2 linked regions of the Notamacropus eugenii genome follow. The protein of the gene in region 1 purifies or fractionates together with the protein of each later gene. This does not show direct contact. Links are inferred from orthologs where the notes say so. Each region holds a gene or a part of one and is shown in the gene's direction. Other genes may lie near its edges.

Region 1 (7,034 bases):
AATTGTTTTTACATGTAATTAGGAAAAAATAAAATATTATTTTTTAAAAAGCATGAGATCGAGACTACACAAATCTTCATTTCCGTTCTCAAAGTCCCCAGCTCTGCGCTTGTCTTCAGAGCAGCCTTGTAGACCAATACCACAATGGCCATGCCAGTGGTGGCCCCATCCAGCCCAAAGTAATCACAAGTTTTTAAAATTGGAAGAGACCTCAGTGGTCATCTTTTCCACTCTATGCACAAAAAAGAACTCCCAGTATGATATATGTGACAAGTCATCAACCAGTTTCTTTTTTAATAGCTTCAATGAGGAGGAACTCACTATTAGCTAGGTTATCCCCTTCTACTTTTGGATGGTTCTAATTGCTTTGATTCACTTTTTTAAAATCAGTGATTTGGAACAATTCTTATCCACTGGGGAATGGCTCTTGTTCTTAAATATTATCTATATATCTAAGAAATCAGACTTTTATCAGAGATATACATCTTTTTTTCTCTCTCAGTCTGTAGCTTCTCTTCTTATCCTGGTTGCATTGATCTTTTTCATGCAGAAAATTTCAATTTCATATAATATAAATGATCTATTTTATTTTTTATGACTACCTCTATCTTCCATTAAGAATGCCACCCTTCCCCTCTATCACCATTCATCATGCATCCAATCTAGCAGTGACTTTCCCCGGGGGAGATACTCCTTACATTATGACACAGGGAACAGTACTTTAGAGCTAGATGGAGCAGTGGAAAGATTCCCCTGTCCTGGAGGCAGAAAGGTAAGAGTTCAAATCTGTGCTCAGATACCTAGTAGTTGTGTGACATTAGGCAAGTCACAACTTTTGTTTGTCTGTTTCCTCAACTATAAAATGGGGATAGCAGTAGTACCTACTTCCCAGGATTGTGGTAAGGATCAAATGAGATAATATTTATAAAATGTTTGAAGATATTTTGCATTCTTAGTACAGTGCCTGGTCCATAGCAGAAGCTATATAAATGTTATTAATATTACTGTTGGGGTGCGTGCGTGTGTGTGTGTGTGTGTGTGTGTGTGTGTGTGTGTATGTGTATGTGTGTGCCATGGATCCCTTTGGCAGTTTGGTAAAACCTATAGACTCCTTAGAATAATGTTTTTAAAGGTATAAAATACAATATGTAGAATTACAGAGTAAAGCAATTATATTAAAATAGTTATAAAAGTATTTGAAAAAAAAAAAGCTTACAGACCCCAGGGTTAAGAACCCCTGGTCTACATTAATTTCTATGGAGCAGAACACCATAAAAATTGATTTATTGCCTTGACATAAAAATCATCTAGCAGCCAAGAAAGGAAAACATTTTAATCAGATTTAGGTAATATTCACAAGTATAAATGTACCCTTGGCTTCTGTGACTCAGAGCCATTATAGTGCATTCAGTGACAGAGGGAGAATGATGGATGTAGATTGTTGAGATGATGGAGAGAGACCTTTTCATGTTTCTTGTATTCTTCCTGGTTTCCTTTCTCCTATGAATGCAGGGATTCTTAACCTTTTTTGTGTGTGCCATAGACCCTATTGACAGTCTGGTAAAGCCTATGGATCCCTTGTCTGAATAATGTTTCAAAATATATAAAATAAAATATGTAGATTACAAAGGAAATAGATCATACTGAAATACAGTTATCAAAATATAAAAGCAACATGGACCCCGTGGCTAAGAACCCTTGTATTAGTAGAATAAAATTTTTTATTGTTTACTATCAAATATAAGGTTATCAGAAGTAGACATTATGCTGTACAGCCTGTTAAACTCTATAACACAGGTGTAATTTCCAAATTTCTAGTAACTAATGACTTTCTACACTTATTTTAAAAGTCAGTCTATATTCTGAAACTGCAAAAGGAGAGACTGCAGATGATGAACTACCATACCAGTTTTCCTGAGTTGCTGTTAGATTACTACTGGGGGAAATAGTTTGTTAATTATTAATATTGTTTGAACACAGCTTTATATGGTTAGAAAATTGCCTAGCCTGAAATCATGGGGCATGCTGACCTCAGAGACTCTCCAGGGAACCCAGGTCATGGCTTCCCTAATAGCTTGTGTTTTGGCTTCACCCAAATTATATTGCTTACTCACCTTGTGACCCTGGGCAAGTCACTTAACCCTGTTTGTCTCATTATCCTCATCTGTAAAATAAGCTAGAGAGGGAAATGGTAAGCTGCTTCAGTACCTTTGTCAAAAAACAAGCAAAACAAAACAACAAAAAACCCCCAAAGATCAAAAGGTGTCACAAAGAGTTGGACACTATTGAAAATGACTAAACAACAACCATAAAATTATATTGAATGTTTACATTTACCTGCTGATATGCATCTCAAGTAACCTTACCCTTTTCTGGAAAGTGACTGTTTCCATGCTAGCTACCCAGCTGCTTGTCCTTATGCCCTAGTTTGAACTCTATGTATTCTAAGACTTAATTTGAATTCTCTGTATTGTGAAGACTTAACAATTAACAATTTCAAGAGCGGAGTCACGCCTTTTTCTGGCTCTCTCTCCTTTGCCAAATGACTTAATAAAAATTCTTTCTAAATTTTTTTCAAGTCTTGTAGTATGTTCTTGACCTGACAGTACCTGGTTACATCTGTGCTTTGTGAGACTTATGGGACAATATACATAAAAGCACTTTGAAAAGTGTTAAGTTTGTGAAAGAAAAATTCAGTACTCTTGTGTTTTTGGCAGATCTCTCAGAAACAAAAGAGATTATTAATTAAATTCAAAGTACCTTTGCTTAGTGAATGAGAAACCTATAGGGATAGAGATCCATCATGCTTTTGAAAATATGACCCAACTTTTCGCTTTCAATTCATTGTGTTCAAGAACAAAGACAGAATTCTTTTGTCATGAATTAACAAGGGTACCAAGTTTAGGTAACAAGTTTTTGATGCATCAAACAGAAAAACAGTAACTTACTTTTCCCCTAAACCATTCAATCTGGTCAAGGGTTGAGAGCAAAGAGGTACTGCTTATAGTTGAATTATTCATTATGACTCTAATTTCATTAGATGGGAAGCTCCTTGAGGACAGGGATTGTCTTTTACCTCTTTTGTAGCCCCAGCACTTAGCACTATGTCAGGCACCTACTAGGTACTTAATGAAGAAATGTTTGTTGTGTCAGATCCAATTAACTCTTCATGACCCCATTTGAGATTTTCTTGGCAAAGATACTGGAGTGGTTCCTCATTCCCTTGTCCAACTCATTTTTCAGTTGAGGAAACTGAGGCAAATAGGATTAAGTGACTTGCCCAGGGTCACACAGCTAGTAAGTGTCTCAGGTCACATTTGAACTCGGGAAGATGAATCTTCCTGACTCCAGGCGTTGGCTGAATATCCACTACACCACCTATTGTTTAACTGATTGATATCAGGGAGGAGTCCTTCCTGAGCTGATCAAGCACCTCCATGTAGCAGTTGGTTAGGGCTTGCTTGATAGGAATGAATCCAATAGATTTCAGCGCAGGACATGTTTCCTTACAACTGATTAAGACTGGGAAAGTTGTCCGTTCAGATGAGACCCTAAGTGCACCTGTTTACAGCAGTTCTTTCTTGGGGATGACAAAGGATTGGAAACAAAGTAGCAGTCCATGGACAGGGGAATGGCTACATTAAATTGCAGCACATGAGTGTCATGGGGGAAGAGGAAATCTTATTTCACCCGATCCTCAAAACCACCAAACAAGTTTTATTATGATAAATGATCCCCACTTGACAGCTGAGGAAACTGAGGCAGACAGCAGTTAACTGGGTTAACCTCATAGCATCTGACTCTAAACTCGAACTCAGAGCTCCCCAGTTCCAGACCTGGCACTCTACCATTGCGCCGCCTAGCGGCCTCGCGAAGAGACAGAGGTGGGTGGGGTGTTTTAGATGAGGGTCCACTGGCACGTATCGAAACCTTGAATCTGTTACATGACGGGAGGGGCCCATCAAGGCCCCGATGACGTCATCGCTCCGCGCCGCGGCCAGGCGGGGCGCGTGACGTCACCCCGCGACGGGGGCGGCTTTTGTGAGGAAACGAAACTGGGGCCGGGCGACGGCGACGGCGGCGGCTGCGGCGGCGGCGGCGCGATCTGGCGGCCTGACGCCCCCTCCCCCTCGCTCCCCTCCCCGTCAGCTCGCCCCCACCCCGCAGCGTGAGTGCCGGAGCGCGGGCGCGGCCAGGGCGGGAGGGAATCGGGGCGGGCTTGGCTTCGCCTTCCGGCTCACCGCGGCCCGACTGAGAGGCCCGGCTCCGCGACCCGCCTCCGCCGGCCCGGGCCCGGCGCCCCAGGCCCTCTGCTTTCCTTTCTGGTTCCGGTCCTCCTCCCCCTCGCGGGCCTCCCCCCCGCGGCGCTGCTCGGCCCTGGTGGGCTCCCTCCCCCTCCTGTCAGTGCCCCCCTGTGCCCTCCCCTCCCCCGCCCCTTGCCCTCCCGTGCCCTCCGGGCCTGTTCCCCGTGTTTGTCCTTAGGTATTAGCGCGGCAGCCCCTGCCTTCCCCCTCAGCTGGCCTTCCCACCTTTGGAGATGGGCACATTCCTCTGGGCGTGGGGGGAGGGGCTGGGGCTAGGGTCCGAGTGGAAGCCTGGGGTCTTCCGTAGGGCCTGAGGTTGAACAGTGCGGGTGAGGCAGCTGGACTTAGCCGCGCCCTTCCCCGCGGTTCTCCTGCACTTCGTTTTTCCTTTCGCTGCCTGAGCCTCAGGGCCCTGTCCAGCCCTGGCCTTCTGGAATGTCAGGATCCCTTCTGTTGACCAGCACCTCTGCCCCGGCTTAGACAGGCAGCGGCTCTGCCTCCTCTCCTCCTGTACACCTGGAGCCCTCAGAGTTGGGGGAGAGGAGTTTCATCTCGTTAACCCCTTAAACCTGACATCCTCCGGGGGTGCATCGCCAGGATTGTCCCCAATCACTGCACCCCTCCTGAAGCTCCATCCTTCAGAACTTAGGGTGACTCCTGGGGCTCCCGTATCGACACTTCTTAGTTCCTGTTTGCTCCCCCTTTTCCCCCATGGAAGTGAGAAAACAGCTGTCATAGCCAGAAGGGAATGAGACTGTAACTGGCCAATCTTTTTTTTTTTTTACAAAGGAAAAGAAAAATCTGGAAAAATTATTTTAGTGCTGGTTATCTGTGAGCACCAGTAAATTGAATTAAATATATACTGCAGAATACAACTGCTTCCCTAGCAGCCAAATGCTTTATCATGACGTGATGAAGGCCTTAAGCCTTCCAAGGCCATGCCAGCAGAGTCCAAACTCTAGCCGTAACAAGCTAAAAAGGTTCCAAGAATGGGTCCAGAGGCAGACTCTGTGTCTGCTGCTTAGAGACCAGTCTAGCTAAGCGGAGAGACAAAATGCTAGAAGGCTAACCATTGTGTGTATGTGTGGGTGTGTGTATATATATAATATATATATAGTGAAGATATCCAGTAAGGCTTGTGTAGGGGTGGTTTGTGATCTGCATCAGCAGAAGGGTGACCCACACAAATGAAATTTTGGATCCTTGAAGTACAGAGCATAATTCAGGGATAAGGCTAACCACGCGATGTTTATTGAAAGCCAACACTAGCATACATGGGTGAGAGCTGAGCTAGGGAGTCACACACGGTTTTCTCAGTACATTTTTGGTCACTAGGTAAGCCACACAGTATTACTATGAGGTAGCATCTAACTGGCTAATCTTACAGGTAAAGAGACAAGACAGTAAGGTAAATTGATCCAGGGCTCTGGGAAGTGTCATTGGGGAAAGTGACAGCTGCTCTTTGGCCTGCTCACCTATTTACTGCTGTCACTGCTTCCAAATGTAATAGATGTTGTGACCAACACCCAAATCCCCACTTGGTCCCTGCCCTTTGTTGTTGCCAAGTCTGAAACTTTCTTGGCTTTATGTCTGCTGCTTCACTTTCCTTTTTTCCATCTGTCTGAGCTGTGTAGAAGGCTTTCTAGAATCTGTGGACCGCAATTTGTTAAACTCAGTATCTTCTTCAATAAAGATGATTGTTCTGTTAGGATATTTAGATGTCATTGCCCCCTGTTCCTCTCTGATATTTTTTTCCTTTAGTATCTAGCTCTAAATAAATAATAGTGGCTTGATGTGTGCTTATTTCCATTTTCCTAGCCATTTGTGTACCATGGCTGTGTGCCAACCTCATGTCCAGAGTACTTGCTTTCTATACCATGGGCATTAAACCAACCAACTAGTGGATAGAATGCTGCTCTGATTGTTAGAAAAGTTTCCTAATTCCTCTGTATGCTTAAGCTCATGTTGAAACAAGCCAAAAATCAGTTGTCAGTAAAAATAAAAGTGATTACCCAATTGTTTTTCAGAGCCCTTGCTGTTAGTAGTTATAAATTTGTCTTTGTCATCACCCATCCCAACAGATTGAATCCTAGTGTGTCATTCAGTAGAATGGAAAAATATGAACTGTCCATGTGAATAGTGACCACTAAGAGATGGAGAATTAATGTGTAATTTTTTGGGTCAAGAACTTGGAATTGACGTGACAGTCACCTCTGGGTCTGTGTTGCATTTTTACAAATACACATAAAATTAATTACTAATGAGAACTGGATCCTGGTTGCCATCATCTGAGATTCATTCCAAAAGAAGGTCATTGGAGTGTTGGCTCTGGAAGATGATAAAAATTGTCAAATTCTATCCCTTAGGTGGTTTATGTGTTTGTACCCTCAGACTTTATCATCTCCTGTTAATGTGGCTTTGAACCAGAGGGAGGCAACTGCCTTTTTCCTTTTTATTTTCTTTTTTTGGTTTGTGGTTGCAGTGACAATGAAGAGAAGAGGAGAAGGAGAGTTCAGCAGCCCCCAGAAGAAGCAGAAGAAAAGAGCGGCTGAGCTGGGTTTGACCCTCAGTTCTACTTCTGATGAGGAACCCCCTTCTTTTGGCAGTCATGGCCCACAAGGTAAGGCTGCCAACATAATGTGAAACCTGGCCATCGGGAATGCTGTTGACTGAGCACTGGAAAATTTACGGCCTGTGATCCCTTTTGGAAAACTGAACCAGTTCAGAGAG
Region 2 (7,219 bases), on another chromosome or scaffold:
GTTGGATATTAATGATTACAGGGTTTAGAAACAAAGTTATCTCTTTTGTTACATTTTTTCATGGAATTTTATGTGAATTTGACAGATACAGGGGATACAAATCCTGTTGGAGGAAAGCCTTTAAAACATTTTACTCTATAGAATCATGTTTTCCTTTCTTAATAGTTAATAAACAATAAACCCAGTAGGATCTTGACTAAAAGCAGGGTCTTTCAATCAACTAAGCAATTGTACAAAGATGGTCTGCCAGCTCACTACTCATCACCTCATCAAGGAGATCTCCTTGAGGTAAGTGCGAATTATGCTCAGAAAGATTTTGTGGAGGTGGGAAAGGAGGCCTCTAGATCAGCAATTGTTGATATTTTTCTTAGTTACCTATTCTTGGTAATCATTTCTCCTCCCCCGTTGGGAAATTCTCCCCTCTTTCAGGTATCTTGAGAATTAATCCCTCAATGCTCTCAAAATTGTATTACCTCCAATTTGAATATCTATGCATTCTTGGACTACAAAGCATCACTGCTTTTTCCAACCTTGTTTTCCTTAGTGCTGTTTCAACTTTCCATCTAGCTCTAGTAATTGATAGAAACAAAAGAAAGTTTGTTCAAGAAATCGTAGAATCCCAGACTTGGCAGATACCTCAGAAGTTATCTAATCTAAAAGCATACACGAACAGGGGTCCCCTATTCAGCAGACCTGACAGGTGATCATCTAGTTTTTGCTTCCAGGAGAGTTGCAAATAAGAATGATCAAACCATAAATTTAGAAGGACCTGACAGCATTTATATTCACTCAGCAGCATAGAAACAACTGAGTTTAATACCTATCTAGCATGAAAGAAATTAAAATAGGAAACCATCAAGTGACCAGCTTTCTGCTCTCATTCCCACCCTCATTCCCAACCCAACAGTCCCCAAGGTGGAATTTTCAGCCTTCAGGGTATCTACCATCACAGTCTTTTCCCTGAAGTCTTTCTCTATCTCCCAGCAGAATTGGTTTTTAAAAAAGGTAATTTAAAGCACATTTTGTGAAGCTTGCTTGGGTCCCAAAATTGCTAGTGTAAAGGGCTTACCCTGGTCATACTATGATTACCTAACATGGAAGCATACTCTGCCTCCGGTGTTTTCCTACCATGTAAGTGGATGTAGCCTCCTTTTATTGGTTATGTGACCAGAAAAGGCTACATCTTTAAAACTAGCCAGACTGAGAGTCTCTCTTTACAAGCTCACTGTTTCCTGCTGTGTCCAGAGGGTCCAAGTCACCAAAGGGCTGGGCACAATGAACTTAACTGGGAAGAGGATATACTCTTACCCTGCCTCCCAGAAACAGGTCTGAGGTCCTTGTTCTGCATCATTTGTCTTTCTTAGTTTCAGGTGCCAGTGGTGATCCCCATTAGTGCGAGTGCTCAAGCCATAGTTACCTTGGAGCCAGGAGTCCAGGTGAGATGTTGCAGTTGGCCAGGCTGGTACAGAAAATTGGAGAAGTCAGGGTGGCTGGGACTTCAGACTGAAGTATGTTTGGACTTGGAACTGGACCGTGCTTTATAGGAACTGAGCTAAGCTATGAATCTAATCTTCCTCCTCACCCCAGAATATGAGGTAGTGAAAAATGGGAGTTGGGGAATTATTTTCTGCCTGTTGGAGAATATGCCTGTATATTTGTTATTATACCTTTGAAACAAATATTCCCTTATAAAGGCAAATGTAATAGATATGTAGCTAAACAGAACTGGGATGTAAAGAATCACTCCCTGGAAGAAACACCATTGGTGGGGCTGGAGCCTAAATACCCTACACCATTTAAGGGTATTGTACAACTCTGGACTTCAGGCCAGGGTAGACAGTATTATACTAGTAATATTCTTTCTAAAACACTTTAAAGTAAAGAGAGTGGGAGAAAACAGTGAGTGTATGTCTACCATGCTAGATAACACAGATAGGAGCTAAAATATAGGAAGAACACACCTAGTAATTCATTTGAGACAGAATTCAAGAAAAGAGAACAACCAGCATGGCTTCATCAAGAACAGGTCATACCAGACTAACTTTTTTTGACATGATTACTAGACTGGCAGATCAGGAAAATACTGATATAATTTATATTTCTGTAGAGCATTTCATAGAGTCTCTCCTACAATTCTTATGGATGAGCTAGATGAAAGTGCTCTTTTCCACTTTATTTTGATGTTTTTCAGAGCAGAAAATAGTTCAAATCTGGGACCAATCTGATGGGACACACTAGGATTATCACAGTCTTTCTCCTAAACTTTTGCTCAAAAATAGCCTAGAGGCATAAAACTGGGTTATTGTCTTAAGTTTTTTCTTTTAAAGTTCATAATGGCTTTATTTGTGCTTTGAAGTTCCATGATTGATTTTATACCTCATTGCGAGGTCTAAAGCTCCACTTCAGCAACTTTCTTCTTTTAAAGAGAGATTTACTTTTTAAAAATTAGCTCTTATTTTTAGATCATCTTCAATTCCAAATACATCCCTCTCCTCGCTCCCACTCAGAAAATCATCCTTTGTTACAAAAGGAAAAAGAAAAAAAACCAGTTCTCCAAAACCAACACATTAAATGAGTCTGACAGTATATGGAATATAAGCTCCGTGAGATAAAGACTATTTTAGGTTTTTGCTTTTGCTTTGCATCCCTAGCACTTACCATAGTGCCACAGATTAAGCACTTTATAAAGGCATCATTAAGTAATTAATATTCCATACCTAGAGTCTACCAACTCTCCACTGCAGTCTTATTACATCTTTGGGAGTCAAGTTTGGTCATTATACTCAACATGGCATTCATTTTCATTGTTTTCTATTCTTTCCATTTATATTGCTATAATAATAAAAAAACTATATACAAACATATAACTAAATTTTTTGCAAAACATTTTACATATACTTCCTCATTTGAGGCTCACAACTACGTGGAATATTTGTTATTCTTATCCCCATTTTATAGATGAGAAAACTGAGGCTGAGAGAAGTCAAAGGACTTGCCCAGGGCCACACAGCTAGTGTCTGAGACAAGATCTGTATTTATGTTTTCCTGACTATCCTCAAGACCACCTACCTATTTCAATCCGTGCACCTTATTTTCTAAGTTCTACTTATTTCATTTTCCATCAGTTTGTTTAAAAGCTTCCAATGTTTCTCTGTATTCTTCATATAAACTGTTTCTCACAGCAGAGCAATACTCTATTGTACCACCCTTTATTTCCCAACCTGCTGAAGCCTACTTTGTTTCAAATTTTGTTTTATTGGAGTAGTTATAAATGTTGACATAAACATTTTTACACACAGGGAGACTTTCTATCTTTGACCCTCTGGGAATATTTCTCAGATCTTCGGATCAAAGGATACTGACACATTAGTTACTTCAAAATTCTAAGTCCCTTTGCAGAAGGAACCACAGCTCCACCCACTATGGATTAGTAGTGTGCCTACTTTCCCGCAATACTCCAACATTAATTATTTCCATCTTTTGTCCACTTTGAAACATTTGCTTGGCATGGGCTTGACTCTCCTTTATCTGTAGTGATTTAGAGCCTCTGTTCATGCTTATTGACTATTTCAATTCTTTTCCTTTTGAGCAGTGTTGGTTCACCTCCTTTGGAACGGGTTACCTCTGGAGGGAGGGAGCGTCCCCTCATTCAAAGTTGGGGTCTTCTAGTTCAGGTCTGAGTTGGCCCATCGCCCAGCGCGCTGCCAGTACCTGCGGATAGACTCACTGGCTGGATGGTTTGGGAGGTAGGTCGCTTCCCATGGGGAGGCTCTGTGGTTCAATAGCTAATGGGGAAACTTAGGCTCCTAGGGGGAGGGGGTCCTTTCCCACGCTCCTCAGCTGGCAACAATGTGGCAAGGTGAGCTTGGGAGGGGGGACTCCACCTTTCTGCGCCTGGACAGCCCCGTCCTTTCATTCAACCCAACTTTCCACAACACGTGGGTTTCTCCCCCACCCCCTCCCGCCACTTCTCCAAGATTTTCCTCCTCACTGAGGGTGGAGGTGACACCGAGGTAATCTTCCCAGCAGCCTTTTCGCATTACGTGCCCCATCACGACAAGCCTAGAGGGCGGGCTATTTCTTGCCCCTCCCCCTCCTCGCCTCTTCCTAGCAAAAGGCGGGACGGGGTTGTGCGGCGGTCGGCTGGACGAATGAGCGAGAGAGAAACGGCGAGGAGCGGGACGCCGCGCGCGCGCACCCAGGCACGCACGCACGCGACGGAGGCGCGCGCGCAGGCCCGGTCCTTGCCGCCGCCGCCATTTTGCCTTCTGGTCCCGGCCGCACGGCGGAGGCTGTTGTAGGTGGGGGGGGGGCTCCCGGAACGAAGGATCGCCCTTGTCCCTGTTGCCGCCGGTTGCCCCTCCTCTCGTTCCCTTTTTAAACTCCTTCTTCCATCGCCGCTGTGCCAGCGCGACCATGTCCAAGCGGCACCGGTTAGACCTAGGGGAAGATTATCCCTCCGGCAAGAAACGTGCGGGGAGCGATGGGTAAGCGAGGCCGGCCCGAGGCGGGAGGGGGCGCCGGGCTTTGTTGATGTTGGGGCGGGCAGAGACGAGGTCTCGGCTGGGCCCGAGATCACCGGTATTTTCTTTCGGATCTCGGGCCCGTGGCAGGCGGCCCGGGGGAGGCTTTGCTCTCACGGGAACCCTCTCGGGTGGCGGCGCCAACTCCAGGCCCAGCCCTAGCCGGGGAGGCCGAAGGGCCCGGCACGAGTTTCCCCCCCTCCCCTCCCCAGGCCTTTCGGAGCTGCTGGGGAGCAAGGCCTGCCCGGGGAGGGGGTGGGGTGGGATCGGTGAGCCTCGTGGCCGGAGCGATTCTCTCAGGCCCGGGAATTCCTCTTCGCCCTCCTCCGGCAGTCTTTCCGGAGGACCAAGGAGCTGAGGGCCGCGGGGGACAGGGTTAGGCCTGTCAGGGCGACCCGAGGCCGAGTCCAGGAAAGGGAGAGCGGCGCGTGGGCCGGGTGTGGGCCGGGGAGGGCGCGCGCGTGGTGAGTTGTGTTGGTGTGAGTGTGAGTACGTCCGTATGTCCGTCCGTGTCCGCTGGCCGAGCCCCCAGCCGGAGACGCGGCTTGCGGATCCATTCAAAGTCTTTCAAAGTGGATGCTAAAAGAGGACAACTTCCGCTTCTTAAGCCGCGCTCCCGCGGGCTTCGGGTTTTCCCTGTCCTCGTTGGAAGGGTTGATCCTGGTCATCGTGGAAGCACCCCTCGTGGTTTCCGCTGCTATCTTCTTTTCTGTCCCATTTTTAAACATTTTTCTTTCACGTTTTGAGTTCCAAATTCTGTACTTTCCTCCCCTCCTCCACCCTGAGACGGTAAGCCATCGGATGTAGGTTATACGTATGCAGTTACTTAAAACATCTCCTTATAAGTCATTCTGAACAAGACGACAGGAAAAAAATGAAAAAAAGTGAAGAAGAGCGTGTTTCAGTCTCTGTTCAGTCAGTATTAGCTCTTTCTCCGGAGACTGCTGTTGTGCTTCGTCCTTAGTCCTTTGGGATTGTCTTGGATCACTGTTATTGCTGAGAATAGTCAAGTCATTCACAGTTACGATGCACAGCGTTCTCCTGGTTCTGTTCGGTTCTTTGTGCATCAGTTATATAAGTCTTTCCGGGTTTTTCTGAAATCATCCTGTTTGTCATTACTTATACGTTCCATTAAAGTTATATACTACAGCTTGTTTAGCCATTCCTAAATTGGTGGGCATCCCTTTGACTTCCAACTCTTAGCTACCACAAAAAGAGCAGCTATAAATAGTTTTGTACAAATGGGCCCTTCTCCACCCCCCACCCCCCCTTTTTTTTTGATGTCTATGGGATATAGACCTAGCAGTGATATTGCTGGATCTAAGGTATTCACAGTTTGGTAGCCCTAATGGTTGGATCAGTTCACAACTCCCATCAACCGAACATTGGTATCTAGGTTTTACCACATGCCCTCCAACACCCAAAATTTTCTTTTTTGTCATATTAGCCACTCTGATAGGTGTAAAGAGGTACCTCAGAGTTGTTTTAATTTGCATTTCTCTAATCAGTAGTGATTTAGAGCATTTTTATATGGCAATAGATAGCCTTGATTTCTTTTATATGAAAGCTGTTTATATCCGTTGATCATTTATCAGTTGGGGAATGACTTGTACATTTATGGATTTGACTCAATTCTCTGTGTATTTGAAAAATGAGACTTTTGTAAGAGATACTTGCTGCAAAAAATTTTTCCCTAGTTGTCGGCTTCCTATTTAATTTTGGTTTCTTTGGTTTGGCTTATACAAAACTTGAATTTTATATAATCAAAATGATCTATTTTATATTTTGTAGTGTTCTAATATCTTCTTTGATCCTAAATTCTTCCCCTATCCATAAATCTGACGGATAAACTGTTCTGTACTCTCTTAATTTGCTTATGAGGTCACCCTTTCTTTTATGTGTAAATCACATACTCCTTTTGACCTTATCTTGATGTACAGTGTGAAATGTTGGTCTATGCCTAGTTTCTGCCAAACTGTTTTCCAGTTTTCCCAGCAGTTTTTGACAAATGAGTTTTTGTTCCAAAAGCTTGGATGTTTGGATTTATCATATATTAGATGATTATAGTTGTTTACTATAATGTAATTTGTACCTAATCTATTCCACTGACCCACCACTCTGTTTCAGAGCCAATATCAGATTGTTTTGATAATTACTGCTTTATAAAATATAGTTTGAGATATACTTCTGTTTCTTAGCAAGTACCAGATTGTTTTGATAATTACCTCTTTATAATACAGTTTGAGATCTGGCACAGCTAGACCACCTTCTTTTGCATTTTTACCCATTGCTTTTCTAACTCTTAGTATTTTGAGATCTGAAGTAGTAAAGTCTCATATTTGCAACTTGGGCTTTGAGGCCAGAAGCATAATTGGGTTTTTAAGGTTTTTTTCTTTTTCTAGAAACCTTGGGTAAGTTAATGTCACCCATTTGGAAGGCAGAATTTTTGGAGGTCATATTTCTATCGACACATTTGCTCAGATTGTTTTCCTGTTATCTTCTTGGAGAAGAGATAGTATGGATTTTAAAATTCATTCAGATAGTCTTGCCCATAATAGGTACTTAAGAAATACTTGTGAAATGAATGATATTCTGCATCCCAAGTTGAAGGTTGTTGGTGTAACTAAGCAATGAAGTCATTCCTCTGTTGGTTTTTGTATTCCCCTTCCAGTGCTCCAACTCTGCTGCTCTTCTCT

The links. Proteins that work in one complex are often made in the same cells at the same time.
Region 2: the proteins of CMTR1 (region 1) and DHX15 purify together in Homo sapiens (co-immunoprecipitation; 3 studies listed by BioGRID and IntAct, with this or other methods). This does not show direct contact. The link is inferred for Notamacropus eugenii from reciprocal best matches to the Homo sapiens genes CMTR1 and DHX15.

What each region holds. Positions count from the first base shown.
Region 1 is NC_092873.1:95,171,790-95,178,823, forward strand, and holds the start of CMTR1 (cap-specific mRNA (nucleoside-2'-O-)-methyltransferase 1), read left to right. Parts: upstream 1-4,026; 5' UTR 4,027-4,168; intron 4,169-6,786; 5' UTR 6,787-6,791; coding exon 6,792-6,924; intron 6,925-7,034. UniProt on the Homo sapiens protein: S-adenosyl-L-methionine-dependent methyltransferase that mediates mRNA cap1 2'-O-ribose methylation to the 5'-cap structure of mRNAs.
Region 2 is NC_092877.1:77,379,263-77,386,481, reverse strand, and holds the start of DHX15 (ATP-dependent RNA helicase DHX15), read left to right. Parts: upstream 1-4,141; 5' UTR 4,142-4,416; coding exon 4,417-4,487; intron 4,488-7,219.